Linked DNA regions of Tribolium castaneum. The protein of the gene in region 1 purifies or fractionates together with the protein of each later gene. This does not show direct contact. Links are inferred from orthologs where the notes say so. Each region holds a gene or a part of one and is shown in the gene's direction. Other genes may lie near its edges.

Evidence for each region. Proteins that work in one complex are often made in the same cells at the same time.
Region 2: the proteins of Shc (region 1) and Egfr purify together in Drosophila melanogaster (affinity purification with western blotting; 3 studies listed by BioGRID). This does not show direct contact. The link is inferred for Tribolium castaneum from reciprocal best matches to the Drosophila melanogaster genes Shc and Egfr.

The regions. Positions count from the first base shown.
Region 1 is NC_087403.1:6,523,976-6,534,929, forward strand, and holds the start of Shc (SHC-transforming protein 1), read left to right. Parts: upstream 1-4,913; 5' UTR 4,914-5,330; coding exon 5,331-5,417; intron 5,418-5,523; coding exon 5,524-5,594; intron 5,595-5,643; coding exon 5,644-5,878; intron 5,879-5,930; coding exon 5,931-6,091; intron 6,092-8,790; coding exon 8,791-9,056; intron 9,057-9,108; coding exon 9,109-9,344; intron 9,345-9,396; coding exon 9,397-9,525; 3' UTR 9,526-10,954. Other genes in the region: uncharacterized protein LOC103314650, read left to right, coding at 22-373, 525-711.
Region 2 is NC_087394.1:3,577,516-3,588,411, forward strand, and holds the start of Egfr (epidermal growth factor receptor), read left to right. Parts: upstream 1-4,645; 5' UTR 4,646-4,831; coding exon of another isoform or gene 4,832-4,907; intron 4,908-10,896. Other genes in the region: MESK2 (protein NDRG3), read left to right, coding at 736-881. UniProt on the Drosophila melanogaster protein: Receptor tyrosine kinase, binding ligands of the EGF family and activating several signaling cascades to convert extracellular cues into appropriate cellular responses. Known ligands include spitz, gurken, vein and giant-lens.

The DNA.
Region 1 (10,954 bases):
TGTTGAATTTTTTATGTTTAGGTTGTGTTCGAATGAGATACATTTCGCAGGACGAAGGGATTGCTGTCAACGTTTCCTATGGGGAAAGTCTTCTTCACAGCGAGCAAGTGAAAGGCCCTAATCCAGCGCCGACTTGTATGGCCCTGTTGGCTAATTTAGCGCAAGTGTGTGCCCGTTTTTCTGACTTACAGCCGTACAATGATGGACTGCGAGGCTGTTTACTATTAGAGCCGAAATTGCTGGGCGATGTTACAGCGAGTTTTAATATTGGATGTTTTACGATGGGGCCCGAAGGCATGAAACTGGAAGAAAGTGTTAATTCCACCCTCACGACACTTCTCCAGCCCGAAAAAGGCAGCAACAATGCCACGCAGTAAGTTTAATCTTTGACGTATTCATAATAGGGAATGGACGGAAATAGCGAAATAAAACCTTGATTAAGCTTTCCGTAAGTTCGTTGGGAATAAGTAGTTGCGGAGAATGGAATCAATAACGCGTTCTGTACAAGCGGTGACTTATTTCAGGAGCGAATCGGAAGGACTAAATGAAGAGGAACTAATAGCCGCTGTAAATGAGTCGGCAGAACAAGGTCTTGTTTTCTTCGGGAATCTACTAGGTCTAACTTTCGGAAAACCCGAAACCAATGAGACTAATACCGAAGCTGTCGCTCCTGCTACAAATACTAGCAATGAAACGGCGACATCTACGTAGGAGACGTCACGTACTCCAGAACTCCACAAATTGATCCAGATTCCTAATCATCACTCGCACTTATTTATTTCATCAAAAACTTGTTTTATTATTTATTTAATAAAATATTTCCCTCGTTTACAATTCTTATTACTCCTCAAATCCTACAAGGATGAGCAAATCAATTCAAACAACCATTTCAATGACACTTAAATTTCTAATTAATTTTCTTGCTGATTCAATTCCAACTTCACTAAACTTGTAATTTTCCTAAATTAAGCATTAAATCCTCCATCGAACGACGGATAATTGGCTACGAACACTTCAATATTTCATAATTGTTTTTTATTTTCGCCCGCCAACACTAAACCATTCAACTTCTCAAATCGTGAATTGTGTAAAGCTAAACCGTGCAAGTCTATTAATTAAAACTGAATAAAACGATAAAATAATCCATTTTTAGCATCTTTAGTCTCGTTGGCTCTAATGAGAGCACGCTACGTTCAGTTCAATTTTTGTTTTTTACCTGAAATCAATCGAAAAAATAGCATATCATCAATTAGACGCAAACTCCAACTTTTGGAGGAAAGAAAAGTAACAGCAAATATTAATTGTCGCGCTTCTGTGACATGATGGGGAAATTCAAACGCGCCGTTTCCCTTCCTTGAATGGGAATGATCCCGAAATAAAAATAATTCTAAAAGAAGTGACAATATTCTTTTATTAAATTTTTGATGACTCTAATGGCAGCCACAATATTCCATCGTCACACCGTTGGGACACTACATAGTCCTAAAGCCTCGCCTCAAGTGACGTGTAAAGAAATAAATTTTTAACGAGACAATGTGCGTGCTCATGTGACAGTATTTCTTTGGTGTGGAACTCCTATTCTTGTGGAAAATTTGACGCAAATTCTATTTACCCCCGGATTTTTTTCGCAAAAGTAATTTATTTTTTTATTTTTAAAAAAGGGGAAGATTCACGGGGCCGATTTTTACCGTTAAAGTAGTGTTGTTGTGCTTAACGGGCTTATAATTCAGGGTTGGAGTTAATGGATTACATTAATGGCTGCAAGAGCCAAGCAAACTTTTTGTCGTTATTAGTAACAACCCAAAAAGACGTCTGTTCATAGAGCTGAAAATTTAACCTCATTGTTTATACCCCGTTTTTGCACGATGTTGATGTTATTGATTGTACTTCGCTTCATTTAATATGTATAGCTGAAGCTTCAAGGGATCCGTAAATAATAATACACTTGCTTGCAATTTTTCTCCTAGCACGAAACCCTTAATCCTGCAACTAACCAATGCAACCGATGCGTATTTTTTCTCACGTGAAAAGTTTTGCTGGCAAAAACAGTTGGCTCCGAACTAGAATTTCTTGATTCGATAAAAATACTGGACGTTTACGGAATCTCGAAGAAAAATGAAACTTGCAAAATAAAAACTCACCAAAGCTTATTTTATTTGAATGTATGATGGAAATAATGACAGGCCGAATATTAAACACACAATTTTTCTGTCGACGTTTCGCATCAAATGGCGCATTTTTATTATTTAAAATCGCTTTCTGTATATCCTTCCACTTTTAATCCTAAATTACCGTCCTTGTTACTTTTTGAATTATTCCTTCGCATATCCGTGCTCATACACTCGTACCTTTTTAAATCCTTTATTGATTTGTTAATTCGTTAATTGCAAACATGTCTGCGTGAATAATGTTAATGGCCGTTGCGTTCTCGTATTATTATTTCACATCAATGATGATTAGCTAACCGATTATTCTGTCAATTTAACAATTTTATTTGTTATTCCGCCTGGATCTGGCATTTATTGACATGATTCTATTAGTTTGCTTTGAAAGAGAAATTACATTTACACAACCCATATACAGCGTGTAGCAAAACGCAACACAGCAGCCATAAAAATAAATGCCTCGGCCGTGTAAATCAATCCAAATTTACTAATAATTTGAAACATTTTTACTGCGACTGCAGCATTTAACTCTCCTTTTATGTGTTTATTTTTGACAGTCTTTGAGCTTGTTTTACAAACATTTCAAACAAAACACATCCTCCTAAGGATACTCTTTTTAAACTGTGACATTGAAGCAATTCATGCAGATGTTCTCGTCATCAAAGAAAGAAAAACAAATGTTTCATTTAATTATCTCTAGCTGCACACCTATTGTTGGGGTTTGTTCACATTTAATTAGGACGTAGTGGCTTAATTAAAATTCAAAAAGCACCACAGAACGCGGGATAATTTTTAGCAAAAACTGCCACTTATGGTCAACTCGATTGCAAAAAGCTAAACTGCACTTAAAATACACGAATATTCAAATTATTTTAATTACTTTAGCCGCAGAGCCTGCACTTCGAAAGTTGTTTAAAAAAACATCGTCATCAAATCAAGTCAAATCTCTGTTCTATTTTCTAATGTCACTAAAATATTGCTCTATCATACATATGGCATAAGCCATGTAAATTGAGATTTAGATTATCTACAGAATTGTAGGATGGCTAATTTACTTTGTCGCTGTAATTACAACTCCAGTTCTATCACGAATGATTGATTTTCAGAATATTGGCAATGGTAAACCGATTACTGATGCTTCAATCAGAGTTTAATGAATTTGCAATAACTGACTGTTCAAGAAGTATTATTCACCTGTATACTTAGTGCACTCACAGTTATCTCAAACAGTTTGGCCATAATCATTTCAAAGCCAAGTGGTAGAGTACCTGAAGCACCACAATTATTAAAAGCCTTTCTCTCCGATGTCCATTCTCCAGCTGTCTTCTTTCTCTTTCAATTACTTCATTATTTTTTGAAGGAAATTAAAGTTATTGACTGCTATATTGAAGTAAAAAAATATATAACTTATTTTTACTCTTTACAAAAGTAACTATAACGGTACTCAATCTGAAAGGTCGATAACAATTTGAACTGTTTTCCAGAGATTTTTTTCAGCTTCTTAATTTTTCAGCCGCTTAGTTCTTCAGAATTTTAGTCTCAATTATATTTTTTAGTTTTTTGTGTTTATAGTTTCTCAGCGTTAAAGTACCTTTGTCAGTGTTTGTACTTTTAATTTTTGAAAATGTACATACTCTGGTTCTAAATTAAATTATTTTTTGATTTTGAAAATTATAAAAATTATATAAATTAAATATAAAATAAATTATAAAAATTATAAAAAATTGAATTATTTTAAAAACTAAGCAGAATTGACCATTTTATTGGCACCCAAGGCGAAAGCGCATTCTGTGAGAAAGACCGGCCCTTAACCGGTTCTCATTTCCTGATTTGTCCCAGAAATGCGTAATTGACCAATAAAAATATTAAAATCACCTCCTACTTGTTTATCAGGTGCACAAAAAATTGCAAGACGATTGAAGCGTTTGTCATTGGATATGGGAGGGGTAATGCACTCCCAACTGTAAAGCAGACCAATCAAGCGGCGTTCCCAACTGAACAAAAAATTGTTTCAAATTGAATAAAATTGAAAAAAATTGTTTGATTATTTTCTAAATGTCGGCCAAACCATCTAGAATTTCGCTCTTTTCTAAGAAAATTTCAAGTTTTTTATTACACTTGGGTTCAAAAATTGTGGATCGATTTGTTTTTGATAAAGATTGATTTGTTTAAATCAATTGTTTTAATTGTTTCCCAAGATTCTCTCACAAAACTCAACATTTGACAAATTAAAATTTTTCAAAATTGCTTTTTAATCCCTCGTATCCGGCGGGTAGGTAAAAATTTTGAACAGTACCAAAGCAACAAATTGAAGTGTATTTATATCTAATTGCCCTTTACACACCATCCGGGCATTGCTCTTTTGACTTTGAGATGGTCTATCATTCAAATCAAATGCAAAATTCATCATTATAATTTATAATTTTTTCTTGATTCCTGACGAGAAGAGGCCCATTGAAAGGGGGCAATACGATTGTCATGAAATTAATGAGGCGTTGTTGCTACTCTGGAAACTTTACACATCGAAAATGTTTTTGAAAAAAGTCTATTTGGTAGATTTTTTTTCAAGAAACTTGGACAAAATGAGGTGTTGGGCTGTTATCGAAAGTGTTATGACGTAAAATGCTATTTATATTTTGACCTTTTTTATTTAAAAAACGCTCCCATTTTGGGGATTCCTGTTTATCAGATCGGGCGCGTTCGGGTGTGATCGGTCCGAGTTGCGCAGTGCTGATTCCATCCCCTTCTAAATATTAATATCGGCGAAGTGAGCCATGTTCATGACGTAAACGGTTAGAAAACAAAAGCAAAATGAGGCGGGTGTGCAATGTGAGCCTGCAAGCGTAGCATGTCCTCCCCAAAGTCGACTTATTTTTGAATTTCTGTTGCTATGTGCGCCTCTAGAAATGCGAAAATCCCCTCGTTTGCATCGAAATAATGAAAAAATTGTGATACTAGTTTAGTAAGTTAAATGTGAGGAATTAGTGCGTACTGCGTAGTTGGCCGTGGAAACCGATGCTTCTCGACGTAGACGTCATATTGGGTGAATTGGCAAGTTTTCTTGTGAAAAATCGTCGATTTTCCTCGCTGCAGCGAGAAAAACCGGTGGAAAAGAACTAGTCAGGCAGGTTCACACCCATCTTATCGCAGGAATTCGCAGCGAAAATGTCGACGTTTATTAGCAAGCCACTGGGTGGGTGGATTCACTCCGATAAACTAATTTCGAAGCAAGGGGCGACTTATGCAGTTAGGGTAAGAGTCAAAAATCCAATTTGCGAGCCATGTAGAACCGCAATATCGATTTTGCCGTGCCTCCATGTAACAGTCACACCCTATATACGAATTTTCTTCTTTCCAGTATGTTGGATGTCTGGAGGTGAAAGTCTCCATGAAAATCCTCAATTTCAAAACCCGGTCGACTGTTGCCAAGTAAGTACTCTCGGCCCCCAAACCCCCAAAATCACCAGTTCCGCTTTAGAGAATGTATAAATAAGGTCTGTGAGGCCGCCGGGTTAAAAACGGCCGATAAGAAACGAAAAGTCGACAAGAAAGTCTTAAAAGCCATTGCTGAAGTTCCTAATATGACCCACGCAGGGGCGAACGTTAGTCTAAATGTATCAAGTTCGAACCTATCTTTAACTTCGCTAGATGACAATAAAGTCATTGCGTGTCATGACATGCCCCACATCTCGTTTGCTTCAGGGGGCGATATTGTAAGTTGGAAAAGCCTTCATCTCTTATATTATGTAACCAGATAGCTTGTAGGACACTATGGACTTTGTTGGTTACATTGCGAAAGACATCAACGACTTTAGAGCCTGCTATGTTCTAGAATGTGGGGGTGGGTTAGCCAAAGATGTTATAGCAACCATAGGGCAAGCTTTCGAACTGAGGTTCAAACAATACATGAAACCAGCACAAATCGGGTAATTTATTCTTTTGTAATAACATTATTGTTGTGGTCGCATTAATAACACTTTGGAACAAAATCAATACACACAAAATTACGCCTGTTTCAAGGACGTAATGTTGTACAACATGGCGACTTTCATTCCATGTTAAAACTCATTTTTACGTTTACTGCGCTAATTAAATTAATTGTTATTTATGGTGGCTCCATATTGTATAACATGAGTATACTAGTATTTTTTGAGTTAAAATATGTTTAATAACTGGCATAATGAAGGCAGTTTTTACGTTATATGTACATAAAAACTAGTAGTCACTTTTAGAAGTCTAAAGGTTTAAAATACGACACGCGAAATATAAAAAATGATACTACACGTATTGAAACACCAAATAACACTCTAATTAATCTGACCTGTGACCAGAGACAAAAAATACAAGACTTGTTAATTTTGGTATCGTTTATCTATTTTAAGAGCGTCGTGTTACTTTTTTAACAGATGTGTTGTCAAAACAGACCTATTTCTTGCTATTTATTGGCAGTAATGTTGATCATAATGTTAAACCTATTAAGGCCGCTAAAAAGTTAACTCGTGATTGTCCCGTGAACCTGAGCATCGGATTGGTCCATTTTCTTCACGTGATCACCTAATCTGACTTCATGACACTCCTATTGCTTTGTTAGAATCTTTGGTCATCTTTGATATGTCAGCAAAATCTATAGGTAGTTGATATTATTTTACCAACTTTCTTTTTACAGTAAATATTAAATTTTATTTTTAAATGGTTCCGGTTCCTGAAATTTTAGCACTTCAAACTAGGGTTGGCATGCTTGATAAAATATCGCCATAAATATCACAAATATCAATGATATTTATTAGTTTATATGCAGCGTGTATACAAAATAGCGCATAAGCGCATAGGTTGTAAAAACGTTTCAAAATCTTATAAAAATGTTATAAAAAATCCATCGTCATTTTTAACGAATTTATTCACACAAAATTGTTTGGTAAAACTTGCAGCATTGTCAGTACTCGAGTGTTTTCGACGTACCTCTATTAATTGTTGTGGAGTAGTTGCAATATTATAACTATGGATTTTTTCCTATGTTGCCGGATCAATTTTTTAGATGTCTGAATATAAAAAACACATGTTAAAGATTATTATAAATAATTGTGATGTGTTGAAGGGTAGAGGAACTTGGTATCTGTCTTGATACTATCACCGATTAAAATTATTTAAGAAAATTAAGAAAAAAATCTCCACTTTACTTCCTTATACTACTAAGAATAAGTGAAAGGGGATTTTTTTATTTATTTTTTCTAGAGTTTGTTGGAACGTGTGCTATAGCGTACTGAAGAGTTTGTGCGCCAATTTGCATACATCCTGTATATCGCACTTGTATACAAAGAACTACCCAGTATTCAAGTTTATTTTATTATTATTATTATTTAGTTGAAAAAATAATTTCTCATGATATTTTTCCGATAATGAAATGTTTTTTCTTGTTAATTTGGTTTGTATGGGAAAGTTACTAACTGCATTTTTTTAGATTTTTTTTTATTGTGACAGTATGATTAACAAATAACCTTTAATATGACATAATTTCTTAAATTATAAAAAAATCTTATTATTGTTAATCTGTTATCGTGAAATGGGTGGTAAATTCTTATCTTAAATGATTTCGACCGCAATAAACAAATAACACAATTTATAGTATTGTATTTCTTAAAACAAATTGAAGGGACAGGGGAAAACGACCTGTCCACTTGTTTAAGAAATTGATGTGGAGTTGCAGTATTGTAGTTTTTGAGAAAACTATCAAATAATTGAGGCGGGAAATAGCAAATACGACTTTAGTTCAGAGCAAAATGTGTTACAAGATACACTCTACTGAGGAAAAAAGGAAAAAAAGTTACGGGTCCACGTGAGAAAACTTTGGATTTGATTGTTCGTGATTTTAGTTGAGACGGACTGAAGTCGTTTTTCCCCTGTGCCCTTCAATAGTTTATTGTCGACTTATTCGAAAAGTGAAATAAACGATTCAATTGTATTATGAAACATGAAATGTTTGTTAAACAAAACCATATTCGGTTGCAAGCAGAAGCACTGAATAAGGACATGCTCTTATTCTGTTACCAGCTCCAGCTCAAGTCATTCTTGATCGTTGTTATATAAATTTAATGTGATGAAACTGACTTGTTTTTTTTGTAGTTTTGGGTTGTAACCCGACTTGTAAAGTTAAAAATAAGTTTTAAGATTTAGAAATTAAATTCAAAAACAGCAGTCAAAAATGAAGTTTTGAGAAAACCGATAGAAGCTGTGGGTTTTAGTAACCGTTTAATAACTTTGTTGTTGTAATAGGTAAGTCTTTACTTATTGAATATGCACCTTGTAAATTTATTTATGTTAAGTAAAAAGTTCGACGGGCTGAATATCTATATTGTGCGGCTTCTGACCAAGCAATTAACATCATATTGCACAAAAGGCCACAAGATGCTCCTAATATCTGGATTTTCCCATTTTCAACATTGCTATTTTTGAATTACCTTATGTGTGTTTGGAAAAAAATGGAGCCACCTTCCTTTTCGTCTTTCTTTTTTTTTTTTTAATAAACGCGAAGAATTGACAATTCTTTAGATAATTATGTATGAGTTGGTATTTTTGTGACCACTTTTTGCTTGTTAAATGTGGCGGTATTTTTGACGGTGGTTTCCAGGCTTGCGATGGGCCAGCCGTCGACGTCCACAGGTGGCGACGCCGATAAAGACTACTACAACGATCTTCCAGGCAAAGTACCTCCCGATGTGGGTCCTCCACCTGTCCCTCCGCTTCCTTCCGTCGTGCCACCATTTACAACCCTACCATCAGTCCAAAGTCCTAACTTAATAGACCTTAATTCCGACATTTCCGTTTTCGATACGCCACATCACGATTACGTTAATGATAGTATTACGATTAAAGAAAGGGACGTTTTTGATATGCGTAAGTCGCTTTGAATTTTTCCTTGTTCAATTTTTGACTTTTGGTACTTTAGAACCGTTTACGACGCATCACCAACCACCGATTAGAAGTATTGAAGAACACTTAGCGGAATTACAGCATGAAATTTGGTTTCATGGACAGATCAGTCGCGCAGATGCTGAGCGACTTCTCCAGAAGGATGGGGATTTTCTCGTGCGGGAGTCGCCGAATTCGGAAGGACAATTCGTGCTTTCGGGGATTCAAGATGACACGAAGAAACATCTCCTGTTGATAGATCCTGAAGGAGTGGTCAGTACGACTTTGATTTCTCTGGGCTTTAGCTAATTGTTTTGTTTTATAGATTCGGACGAGGGATCGGATGTTCAACAGTGTTAGCCATCTCATCAACTTCCACTGCGAGAACGTCCTCCCCATTATATCGGCTGAAAGCGTTCTAGTACTTCGCAACCCAGTACCAAGAATATCATAGTTTTTAGTTGGTGAATATTAATCTGGCTTGCACTAGCTTCTATGTTCTAGTACTGTTCATTGCAAGTTTAGCAAATTATAGTACAAAGATTTTCATGCCATATAGTAAAAATTCGAAACGGTTTTTGCTAAACTTGTTTAGTGAGATCTTTTCTTTTATTCCGGGCGAACGGTTATGTTTTCCATATGGCACAGCATAATCATATCAAAAGTATTCAAGGAACTTTAAACAAGTATTAATTTTTTACGCATTTATAACGTGTTATGGTAACAGTCGAAGCCTCATGCTTAATCAAACATAACTTGATGTGATTTAGGTAGTTTTAATTGTGCATATATGATTGCGACAATTTGTGATAGATCCCAGGTTTGGACAACATGAAGGGTGGATTAAATTTTACAAACACGATTTACGTTTTTATTTATTATTTATTATGATTTGGATAACACATTACATAAAATTATTTTCGGTTTTCCGGCTGAGTTTCCATTTCCTTTCGTGTCTTCTTACGCAGGACCTAAACAAAAACTACACTTTAGTAACAACATAAATAAAAAATAATTGAAGTAGAGAGAACATGGCGGCGTCTAAAAGTAAGGTTACGGGTATGCGCAACAAAAGTGACAATTATCTTATTTCACTAATTCAAACTTGGTTCATCTGAAAACTAACCATGTAGTTATAAAATAGCTGAATGCACCGTTATCCTGACCTGACTGTTTACGCTATTTCGTCCGTTTTGTTTTATTAATTGGTGGTATACTTTTGCAACATAATGCCCTTCAAGTTTTCTAACTTGGGATATTTTAACAGAAATTGAAGAATGTTTTAAAATGTTCGAAAACAACTATTTTTTTACTAACTGGACCAGTAAAGTTGTTAATCTATGACTAAAAAGACACTTCCAACGCTCTCTAGATACAGAAACGTACTTGAATTTGCAAATGTCTTGAACGTTTTAGAAGATTTTCAACGTTTGATATATCTTTTGGACGTTTTTATACTTATGCTGTGTTGCATTATTTTTGATGCAAAGTTTTGATTTTTACTGCTTTTGAATGCAAGACTGCGGCATAGTCGTGTTTCCACTTTTGGAAAATGCGTTCATGTGGACATGACTGTGCACCAAAACGTTAGAATAGAGACGCAATTTGCGGAATAGTCTACAAGTGACCTTAAATCGCACAGAAACCGATTGAATTTGGCGCGCTCGAGACGAACCAAAAGTCTGTGCAACATTCCTGAATTGATTAGGTTTTTGTGCAATTAGTACAGGTGCTACGTGTCGATTTTTAGGTTAGAATTGGATATTTTCTTTAAAATTTCAACATTAGTTCCGTCTGGAACGTTCGAATGTAGGGTTTTTCTTACGTTAGAGTTGGTAGAATTTTGTTGGTACGAATTTTGGATTTTGTGCACCTAGTCCCGG
Region 2 (10,896 bases), on another chromosome or scaffold:
TGATTTTTTGTTAGCAGTCGTCGGGGCGCCATTTTGTTTGATTTCTAGCCTACTTGACTCTTATCATCGCTATGTCGTGTTGTTTTAGCCGTGCAAGTGCGCCGACGGGCCAGTAGCAGCGTGTCAATAGAAGGTAAAACTTTTTAAAGCCTGGCCTGTCGTTCGGCCCGAAAAAATCCCGAAAATTGACACGTAAGTTGCGTTCACACGAGAACACTGTATATAAATAAACAAGTTATACTTAATACAGGCTGTTCCAATTAATAACCGAACAAAGGAGTAAAACATGGACTTGCTTAACCAAGTATCCACAATACTTTTTCGTGCGGTTAGATTCGGACATCCTGTACTTACACGGAACTAACCAACGTTGTCTTGATGATGATGCGAGTTTATTTTTTTCGTAGTTTCATAGGTGGCAGTGGCATGATCTTCATCTGTCGTGTCTTGTGAGTCGTGTGTGTGTCTCTGTATATTTAAAAATGACGGCCGAATACAGGGTTTTATATCCGGCTCGAAGGACCAAAAACTGTTTTATGTTTTTTGCAATACCCTGTATGTGGGAGTTGTTTTTCCTTGATTAATTTCGCTTGGTGCATGCGTCTGCTTGTCGTATTTTCTTATTTTGGCACTTGACACTACCAAACACACACAGATCTGAAGGGTTGCACTGACATTTCTGATTTGGCGCGGAGATGTCGCCCCGTTCGCCAGTTTGATGTTTTGTGTTTACAGTGGCGCCCCTGTCTCCCACAAAAATGGCTCTTTTCCGCAAAACGTCGCTGGAAGAACTGCTCAAATCGAAAATGCCTAATGGCGGACAATGGCCAATGAATGTCATCCATATCACCGAAAATCCGATATCGGCTGTCGTCTGTTAAATTAATAATAATAATAACCGCCGCCACTGCTCACACAATCACACTATCAACACATATACACACACTTATTTGAGCTGTATTGGAATTTATGGAGGATTTGTCGGGCGGGAAGCTGGCGGACGCTTCGAGGAATCCCCCTGTATATCAAGCGGGACGCATTAAGCATGTGATGTTTTCGAAAATAGGCGCTAAACTAGACTAGAATCGATTATTTTTTAAGAGATATATAAAGTTAGGTTTGAAAATGGCGGCGACAGTCGGTATAACAGGAAACTATAAGAAAAATGAGCTTAAATTTTCGGTCATAGGGGGCGTGAGTTGTGATAAATTTCAATACAGACGTTTCGTTGGCCACTGCCCTTCTGAAGCACATATCTAGGCCCAGATTGAGTTATTTAGGCCCGCAACGAAATTCTATCACGCCATATCGACTAGGTGCGCTTAACTAGGACCTAACAACAGTGTTTTGAGTTTCTGTTGTGATTAGTTGACGATTACGTATTTAAGAAAAATAGCTGTAGGTGGAGCTTTACCTGTTGATAGAAAGCCTACTATTTAATGAATTTTAAGGAGAACCCCTCACGAACAAGCAGTTCTTATCATTTCGTAAGGTTATGTAAGATAAGATCGGTGTCGTTGGATGCTGTTCGGTTTTTATATTGTTGCGATGTAGTTTTATGTTTTGAAATGTGATGAATAATCGTATTGTGCCTCACTTTGTTAATGGTTTAAGTTAAGCACTATTTAATTTTAATAAAATGTTTAAAACGTTGCTTGTGGCTTTATTTATTCAACCAAAAAAAAATGCTCGACTTTTAATGAACTGTGGATACAATATTTTTTTAATATGTATCAAGCTTTGAAAAGTAGTTAAAATAATATATTAAACTTTAAGTGGATATGGAGGTCTTTAAGACACGCACGATTTTTCGAGCACGACGGCGTAACCGGAGTGCTCCAAATAGAGCAAGTTATCGACGAATAATTTACGTTTTTTTTTATTAGTACCCTTTGAAATCATAAATACTAATATTAATATTACAAAAATTCTACCTTTCGTTGTCATGGAATTGATGGTCATTATAATAAAAACTCATTAAAAAACGCCATTTATACTTCACGTTTCTTGGGTTATTGATGTTGCCACGGATACTTTAAAAAACGCGCGTGTTTGAAAGTTGGATTTATACACGCTGCTGCGAGCATTACATAAGAAAAATAGATTACCAATAAAAAAAACAAATTTAATCAGTAGTCAACAAACTACACTACACTGACTATTCCTAGTACATTTCACGAAGTACATTAACTGAAAGCTGAAAAGAAAAATTTGAAACAGGAAATAAATGTCAGCAGAAACATTTAAAAACATCGCGCTGCAAAAGACATCTGGGGAGCCCAAGAAAGTCGACTTAAAAAATTCACCCAAAAAACCACAAAAAATTTCTATAAATTACTGCTGTTAGGTTTAAAGGTTTACGTTAAGCTGTTATTAATTTTAATAAATTGTCTAAAACCGGAGGAAGAGGTCAGCGGGTTCAGGAAACAGACGGTTTGTCCTTTGTATGAAAATTTCTGTTTCCCAAATGACATTAATACAAATGGAGAAGCTTTATTCGGATCATTTGCATTTAAACAACGTAATGTTTTGCATTTGTATCCGACTGGAAGTTCATATCGCAGCCATTTGCTGACAAAAGTATAAATTTATTGGTGTCACCGATGCACAAGGTTCATAATTCAAAGAAAAAGGTTTAAATATGCACACTCATCAACGAATTTTTATGAAAGAACATATTCAGCTGACTTTGTCAAAGAGCCTAAAAAGTTAGCATTTTTTGATTTATTTTCGAAAAAGTTAACAGAAGCTGCCTTGGGCAAATTTAAAAACGTCTGTTAAGTGTATAAATGTGTAAGTAAGATTGAATTTTGTGTCACAAAAGTTTAAAATATTATGCAACCAACGTTACACGCTTGTATACTTTGTGGACTATTTCAATCACTTTCGAGACGACTTTAACAATACCATGAATTTTGAAAAGTGCTAGTACTGCTAATGCTACTTTTTGGCCTATTGTTAATCCAGAACCAGCAAAGTGATACTTTATTAAAAGTTTTAAGGTGTTAGGTGAAGGTTATGTTTGTTCCCAATTCCAGTGGCTTTGCGTTCAATTAACATTTACTAAAAATCGATTGTTGCACTGGTTTCTCTTATTTGGCGTTTTATAAAAAGGAAAAACTGACCTGGTACCGAAGAAAGCAGGATCTGGCACAGGAGGTGGTGAAATCGGTAAATCTTTTTGCACATTCGGGCACTGATTGTCACAATAATTAGTGTTCGGGCTTTTAATTTTAATATCACAATCACACGGATGGGAACAAACACACGGAAAAAACACAAATTAAAGGGCACAACACAACCAGTCTAGCGTCAGTGTCACTAGTTTGGCGGTTTTTTCTTCCAGCGTTGCCAACCTTACCTTTCCATAAGAGGGCGCGAATTTCGAATTCGATAACTTTTCAATATGTAATAATTATTACCTAATTACTTTTGTTACTTTTTACTCATAATCACAAGTGAAAGTATTTCCTAACGATAGCAAGCATAAGGAACTTAATGTAGAAAAAAACTAAAAAATTGCAAGTTTGTTAAAAAACTTGAAAAATTTAAATGAAACACCCTATTTTTTGTTTTTGCTTCTTAAAGATCATAAAAAGATATAAAGATTTTTGATCAAGTTTGGTACATTTTTGAGTTTTGTGAGAGAATCTCGCGATGAAATTGAGTTTTTGCCAAAATATTTAAGTTTTGACACAATTTTCGAATTGGAATGTATCAAAGACAAATCGATCGACAGTTTATCCACGATTTTTGAAGCCCAGTCTAATAGAAAACTAGAAATTTTCTTAGAAAACAGAAAAATTTCAGATGATATGGCCGAGATTTCCAAAATAATCAAACAACAGTTTTTTGTTCAGTTCCAATTTATTTCGAGTTGTAAGAAAAGCTCTCGAAAAATGCGTGTTAAGAAAGTTTGTTTAAAAAAGAGGCTGAAAAAAGAAAAAAATATGTCAAAATCACATAAATTATTTAACTGTTGGAAAGTTTTTTTTTCTAAACTACGGCCAAATGGTGAGACAAAACTGAAATATTTTGGACCAAGTCTGTGTAATATGTTCCAACTATGGCCACTTTTCTGTTGTTCAGTAAGAACCCACCAAAATAAAAAAGTCATTTTCCTATGGAACTTTGGTTCGTTCAAAATAGTCATAACTTGAAGCCGTCAATGTAGCAATAAATTATGCTTCACCTGACGCACAACCAACGCGTCTCCATTCAAAAAACTCCAACAACCGCTAATTGCGCTAATAAATTTCCAGTTCCACATTGACCATCTCGTCCCAGCTCATTCATAAGTTCATTGATCTACCATCAAATTAATCCAAAAAAAACGCAATCCCTCCAACACCACCGCAATTAAAAATTCTCAAACCAGAATGATAGACGCGCTACCGCATTACGTAAACCCATCGACCCATCGGACTCGCTACCATCTCCCCTGACCCCCAGCTCGACCCACCCATTGGTCGACTCTACCATGGCTTTTTCATCTTTTCCCAACAATAATACAGATCAACATTCTTCTACGCAAGGAGCACAATAGCCCCATCTCTCTCTTACCTGTTGCTCACAAGGTCACTAATCTACCTGTGACACTTCGGCCGTCTTCGCCTCCGGTCGCTCCGGGCTCGAGAAGCGCGACGTTCAATTGTTGTCATTCGAAATCGAGTCGTCGAGAGGTGGTGTTGTTGTTGCTTCGAGTTGTGCAACAGGTTGTCGTACTTATTTTGTTTTTTCCCATGACACTCGGATGATGACTTAGTGCAGTGTTGTGATGCTGTGAGCAGTGTTTTTTTTTTTCTGGAATTTTGGTTTTGTTTTTCTCAAAATGGATATTTTTCTCCTGGGGATTATCCTGGCCATGGCTGGCTTTGGAGGGTGTAATGTGGACATGGGGGTTAGAGGTGAGTGCGTCTCTCTGATGAGCTGTCTTTAATTTTTTTATTTATTTATTGCTTTGGAATAATGTTTGTTTATTGCGCGCTTCTTTGGAAATCGCTTACAGAGGTCTCAAGACCACTTGGGACCGTTTAAAAGGAGAGCCGCATTCCAACTGATGCTTTCAAGTGTCACTTTTTTGAAACGTCGATCCATCACTCTTTGTTCAAAAATTTCGGATTCAGGTCAAGTGGAGGGTGAAATTTTGAGGGCTTTAATTACTCCAATTAAAACTAATTTTTCGGGACGTTGGCTTGAAGTTAAGTTGGCCACATTATTTATCTTTTTTCCGTTTTTGCGTTAATGTTGCCAACTTGATTTCAAAATTTATGGCTTTAATCAGAAAAAAATCGGCTCTAATGAGGCTTGAATTACCTATTAGTTTTTTCTGCATTAGGTACATCCAGATATGTTTTCAGTTGTAATTACTAGTGAATTAAAAAATAATGACTAATTCGAAATTCGCACCCTCACTCAGGAACTTTGTGTGACAAGGTTGGCAGCTCTGGATAAAAAGACCGCCATAATAGTGACACTGAGACGCTAGACTGTGTGGTCGTGATGTGCTTTTTATTTTTGTGATGTTTCCTTGTGTTTGTGATTGTGTTGTTAAAATTAACAGCCTTAACACTAATTATTCGTATGGTGACAATCAAAAACTTTTGGTAACGACGATTTACCGATTTCATTTCACCACTCCTGTGCCAGATCCTGTTTTCTTTCCTTTTCTCCAGTACCAGGTCAGTTTTTCCTTTAATTTTTATAGTTGGACAAATGTATGGAACCAAGCATTCTGTGCCTAACTATGTACCTTACGAAAAAACCTCTTAGTACCTCATGAAGGACTTGAAAATGGGGTTATGTTTAAAGTACAATTTTTTTTGGGTTATTATAAAAAAAAATCAAAATTTTATTTTTACACCAATGTTTTTTTTTAAATAATTATGAAAGTTCCATACTTTTGCTCAACTCTGTATGCAAAACTCAGTCTTTTGGGACATTTTAAAGACGATCTTGCCATGGAAAATTCGGTATCTATTATTTTACGGACCATAATAAATGTGAAAAAAATAGAATTGTTATTTATTGTCCTACAACCTTATAAATTGCCACATTGTGAAGCGCTTCCAAAATTTTTTACATCAGATTTTTTTCTAAATTTCTTTAAAACTCTACATTCGATCGTAACAAAAAAAAGTTAAGGCATCGGTTATGAATTACGCTCATTAAGGACCTTAATGAAAATAAGAAAAAGAATAATTTTTTTATGGAAATAATCCAAAAAGTTTGGAAAAAAAACTAATTTTTTGTGGGAAAAAATATCAAAAATCAGAAACTTGTTCAAAGTTACTTGAATACCAGCAGAAACGTGTGAAAATGGAAAATAAACTTATTTTTTGTGGGAAAAACTATCAAAAATCAAAAACTTGTTCAAAGTTACTTGAATACGAGCAGAATTGTGTGAAAATGGAAAATAAGTTTGGAAAAAAAACTTATTTTTTGTGGGATAAAATATCAAAAATCAGAAACTTGTTCAAAGTTACTTGAATACCAGCAGAAACGTGTGAAAATGGAAAATAAGTTTAGAAAAAAAATTTATTTTTTATGGGAAAAAATATCTAAAATCAAAAACTTGTTCAAAGTTACTTGAATACGAGTAGAAACGTGTGAAAATTGTTTAGAAATCATTGAGCAGTTAGTACTTGAAGGTTTTTGTTTTTTCTGTTTTTTTTAGTTTTTTCTGTTTTAATTGGTCTAAAATTTTTCGTATTAGGTATTCACATGAAGAAAAAACTTTTATTTCTTATTTTTTATTTTTATTTATTTATTTATTTATTTTATTATTTTTTATTATTTATTTTTATTTATTCTTTTTATTTATTTCACCTATATACAGTGCGTTTTACTTTTTGTTTATCATAACTTTTTTTTTATTTTCTGGAGGTATTTTCTGTAGTACCAGTATTAACTATGATAGTCTTATTATTCTAAGAATTTTTTAATTTTTTTTTCTGTTTTAATTGTTTTTAAATTTTTTGAATTATGTATTCACATGAAGAAAACATTTTTATTTCATCTATATATAATGCGTTTTACTTGTTATTGAGCATAACTTTTTTTTAATTATTTGGAGGTAGCTATGTAGTACCGGGATAATTATGATAGTCTAGTTATTATTCTAAGAAATTAAAATTTTAGTAATGTTTTTCTTGGACAATATTCCGGTAACTAAAAAACCTTTACTACCACTTTTTTTGTTATTATTTGGCAAAAACAATTATTCTCTAAGTTTCCTAATGTATAAGTTAAGACCCACCCTCTATAGACAAATGGGTGACCAATTTATCTCTCTAAATTTTGAAAGACATTTTCTTCACTTTTTTTCAATTATACCAGAAAATAATATAATAAAGTTTTGTTAGGAGTAAAAGCTTTATTTTTGTCTGTCTATTGACCAGCATTTTTTGATGATTTTCTCGACTAGACTAAGTACTAGAAGTATTTTGATAAGACAAATCTCCTAAATCACAGTATGGGCAAGTGACTGTCTATAAAAAATTGCTCGACTTCCAACTTAAACTATAAAAGAAAATATAACATAAAGTAAACAAAAAAACTAATTAAATGATTGATTATAAGGACTTTACAATTTTTCCTTTTATACTTAACAAAATATTTATAGTCCGGCGCCAAGAAATTCGGCAGAGCATTTCCAGGAACATTATATTCCATTTATGGAAACTACTTTTAATAAAATGGTAATTGCCATAGTCGGTAAAGAGGACATTTGTTTGTTTTCATGAATATTTTTAAAGTTCATTGAATTTGATTTTTTTTTCAGTTTTTTCCACTAAAATCGTTAACACTGTTTTTTTATTCTGTTTTAACTATTGGGGTGATTATCATTAAAAACTCTTGAAAATTGTTTATTTATTGAGAATTGTAAAATTTAAAATTGTTCCCCATTTTCTTTGATTTGCAATAAAGTTTACCTATTTCTGCTATTTTTCTGCGAAACGTGCGATAATGCATGTGTTGTGAAAACTGTTGACGACATGTTTATAACAAGTATTATGAATATTTCCTTTTAACTGTTTTTCTTTTTGTAAGGATATACGCAATTAGAGCGCCTGAACTAAGGTGGGAAAACAATGACTGATGCGAATTTGGAACGTGTAAGAAATTAGATCCGTTAGAATAATCGCAAAGTCACTCGACTACTGCGCTACGATGACTTTTGCTTTTTCGATTTTGATTGGCTCAAAAGTGAACAATACAATACTGTGCGGCAAAATTTAAATTTCCCTCGATATTTTATTAATTGTGGAGGTCACCCAAGGCATCAAAACCGATGACACTGCACACAATTTGCCAAGACTGCAAATCAAAAGCTGACGTGCAAAAAGCAATCGCAATTTCCGCTGAATTACAACAAAATAAATTATAGATTACTTGAAGTAAAAAAATCATATACATCTGTCATTCTGTATCGACAAATTTCCTTCAGTCAGTGAACACCTGTCCGAAAAATGCGCTTAATTAGGGACGGTTTCCGGCTGCGAATGAGATTTCCGGAGTTTCCAGTTTGAAAATATTCGACTGAGTTTTGTAAATGTATCAGAGTTGGTGGGGCCAAGGGCCAGAGAGGTCGGGGGTCAATTGAGTGACTGCAGCGTGCTTTCTTGACAGTGCTGCAGCCGGCGAGGAATTCGACAGGGTCTAGACAAGGCTTTCTTTCAATAAGAAGCCGTATTATTAAAGAAAAAATACTCCAAATTGGATCAATTAAGCACAACTAATAAGGCAAGAATATTAATCATGCCGTAATTGGATTCGAGCATCGACACGAAGATTTTGTATTCAAAATGTTGCTTTCACATTTTTTAACAATTTTTGGACGTAAATAAATAAAAGTTTGTGCATAAAAACTGTTGAGCTTTATAATAAAATTATTGAAAGTTCGTCTTTTTTTTGAAAGAGCTATGTTTTTGACTGCGATTTTGAATTTTTCGAGTTACTTCAAGAAGATTTTCATGAGCTTTCCCTATACTTAAATTTAGCCATTTTCGAAATTTTCCGGATTTTTTGAAAATTTTTGGATTGCACCTTTCACTTCAAAAATCGGTAATTTTGCCATTTTTAGAATTTTGAAAATAGTTTTTGAACAATCATAAAAGAAAGCCCTTGTGTTTCCTTCAGTGTGCTTAAAATTGAAAAAAAAATGTTTCGAAATTCCAAAAACTTTTTTTTGGACGTCTTCTAAAAGCTATAAGTAATTTTTTTCAAAAAATTGAATCACTAAGTGGAAGTTTAATTTTACAAAGATCTGTATTGACATTCCCTATACCTACCTGTAATGATTTTCAAGATTCGTTGGTTTTCTTTGACATTTCCGAAAATTTTTTACTAGCCAGAGTTTGGCAAAGAAACATTTATCACTGAATAAACGATAAGTTCTGTTTAAAATTTTGCTTTGCTTTCTTTAAAATAAAATAAATTCACTGAATTTAGATTTCAAAAACTTTGATTTGCTATATTTTTTACTTACGTTTCCATGGCAACCTATGCGAAAAGAGCTAATGAATTAATGAATGTCAATAAAATGTTCGTGTGTCTTGAAAAGTAAACGGAAGTATAGGTAATATTAATACAAATTGACGCAAAATTAAATTCTCTTATCATTTGATCAAATAAAAATTGTGGCATTTCATTTGAAAATTTTTACTTATGGGTGTTTAAAGTTCTGCAAACTTAATCTTAAAAATTCGGGATTTGCTAAATTTTTTATAAATTTGAAATCACCAAAGAAAAGGACTAAGCCTTCTCTAAAAATATGCCTAAAAAATTGTATATATTTCGAAAACGACAATTTGGATATAGGGAAAGTTGATAAAAACTCCCTAAAAATAACTCGAGTATTCCAAAAATGCAGTAACGAATGTACAGTGACCATCAACAAGAATGACGCAAAACTACGCCACCATGGAAACCCTTATCAAAATGTATAAAAAATTTAGACGCCGATTACGGCGGTTCAGTTTCGTTGTAATCGGCACGCTACATTTTATCAAATTATGGTAAAACTATTCGACAAAATGGAGATATTTTCAACTACGTGCACGTAAAATGATCCGTGGAATCGATTGACCTCGAGAAAACTGCAAAATTCTGAATAGTTTTCAAGTTATTAACAAAACTAGGTTTTGCGTATTATTGCATTTATTGGCAATTTTTTGGATGACTATGAATCGTAGGACAATGATCTTTTTTTTCAAGTGTAGATAATTAAGAACACTTTTTAACGGTACTAATTGAATGGGATTATGACTGATAATTTCGGAGTTATTGGCCGATAACTGATTTGTAGAAAATGCATGCAAAGATGCAAATCCAAAATTTTTCAAAAATTCTACATATTCTGAAAACGACTAAATTTTTCCTTAAATTCCCTTAAAATAACTCGAGTAATCCAAAAATGCAGTAATGTATGTACAGTCCCGATCAACAAGAATAACACTTTTAATATCCGATCCGGTTGGTCGGAGTGTCATTTTTTTTGTTCGTGACTGTATATGTGAATTAAAAACTATACAAGATTAAAGATCCTGTATGTGTAGAGAAATTAAATGTAGCTTAAAACCAGGAGAAATAGTTACATAGTCACATGCCACTTTGATCAAAACGCTACACGAAATAGTTTCCCAATTCTCATATTAAGTATCAAGTTTTTGTGTGGTAATAAAATACTTGTAAGTAAACTTTGCCCGCCTGACAAATAAAACTAAATTAGTAGACATTTTCGCATTTTTATTAGGCTTCAAAGTTCAGGAATTATTGTAAGTTAACAAGTGAATGAGAAAATTCGTCCATTCGAAGACCTTTGGCGTCCAAGGTCGCTAATCTAAGGCCACGTCGGAGTTTTCGATGCGGAAGAATCGCCGCTGCAATGGCATT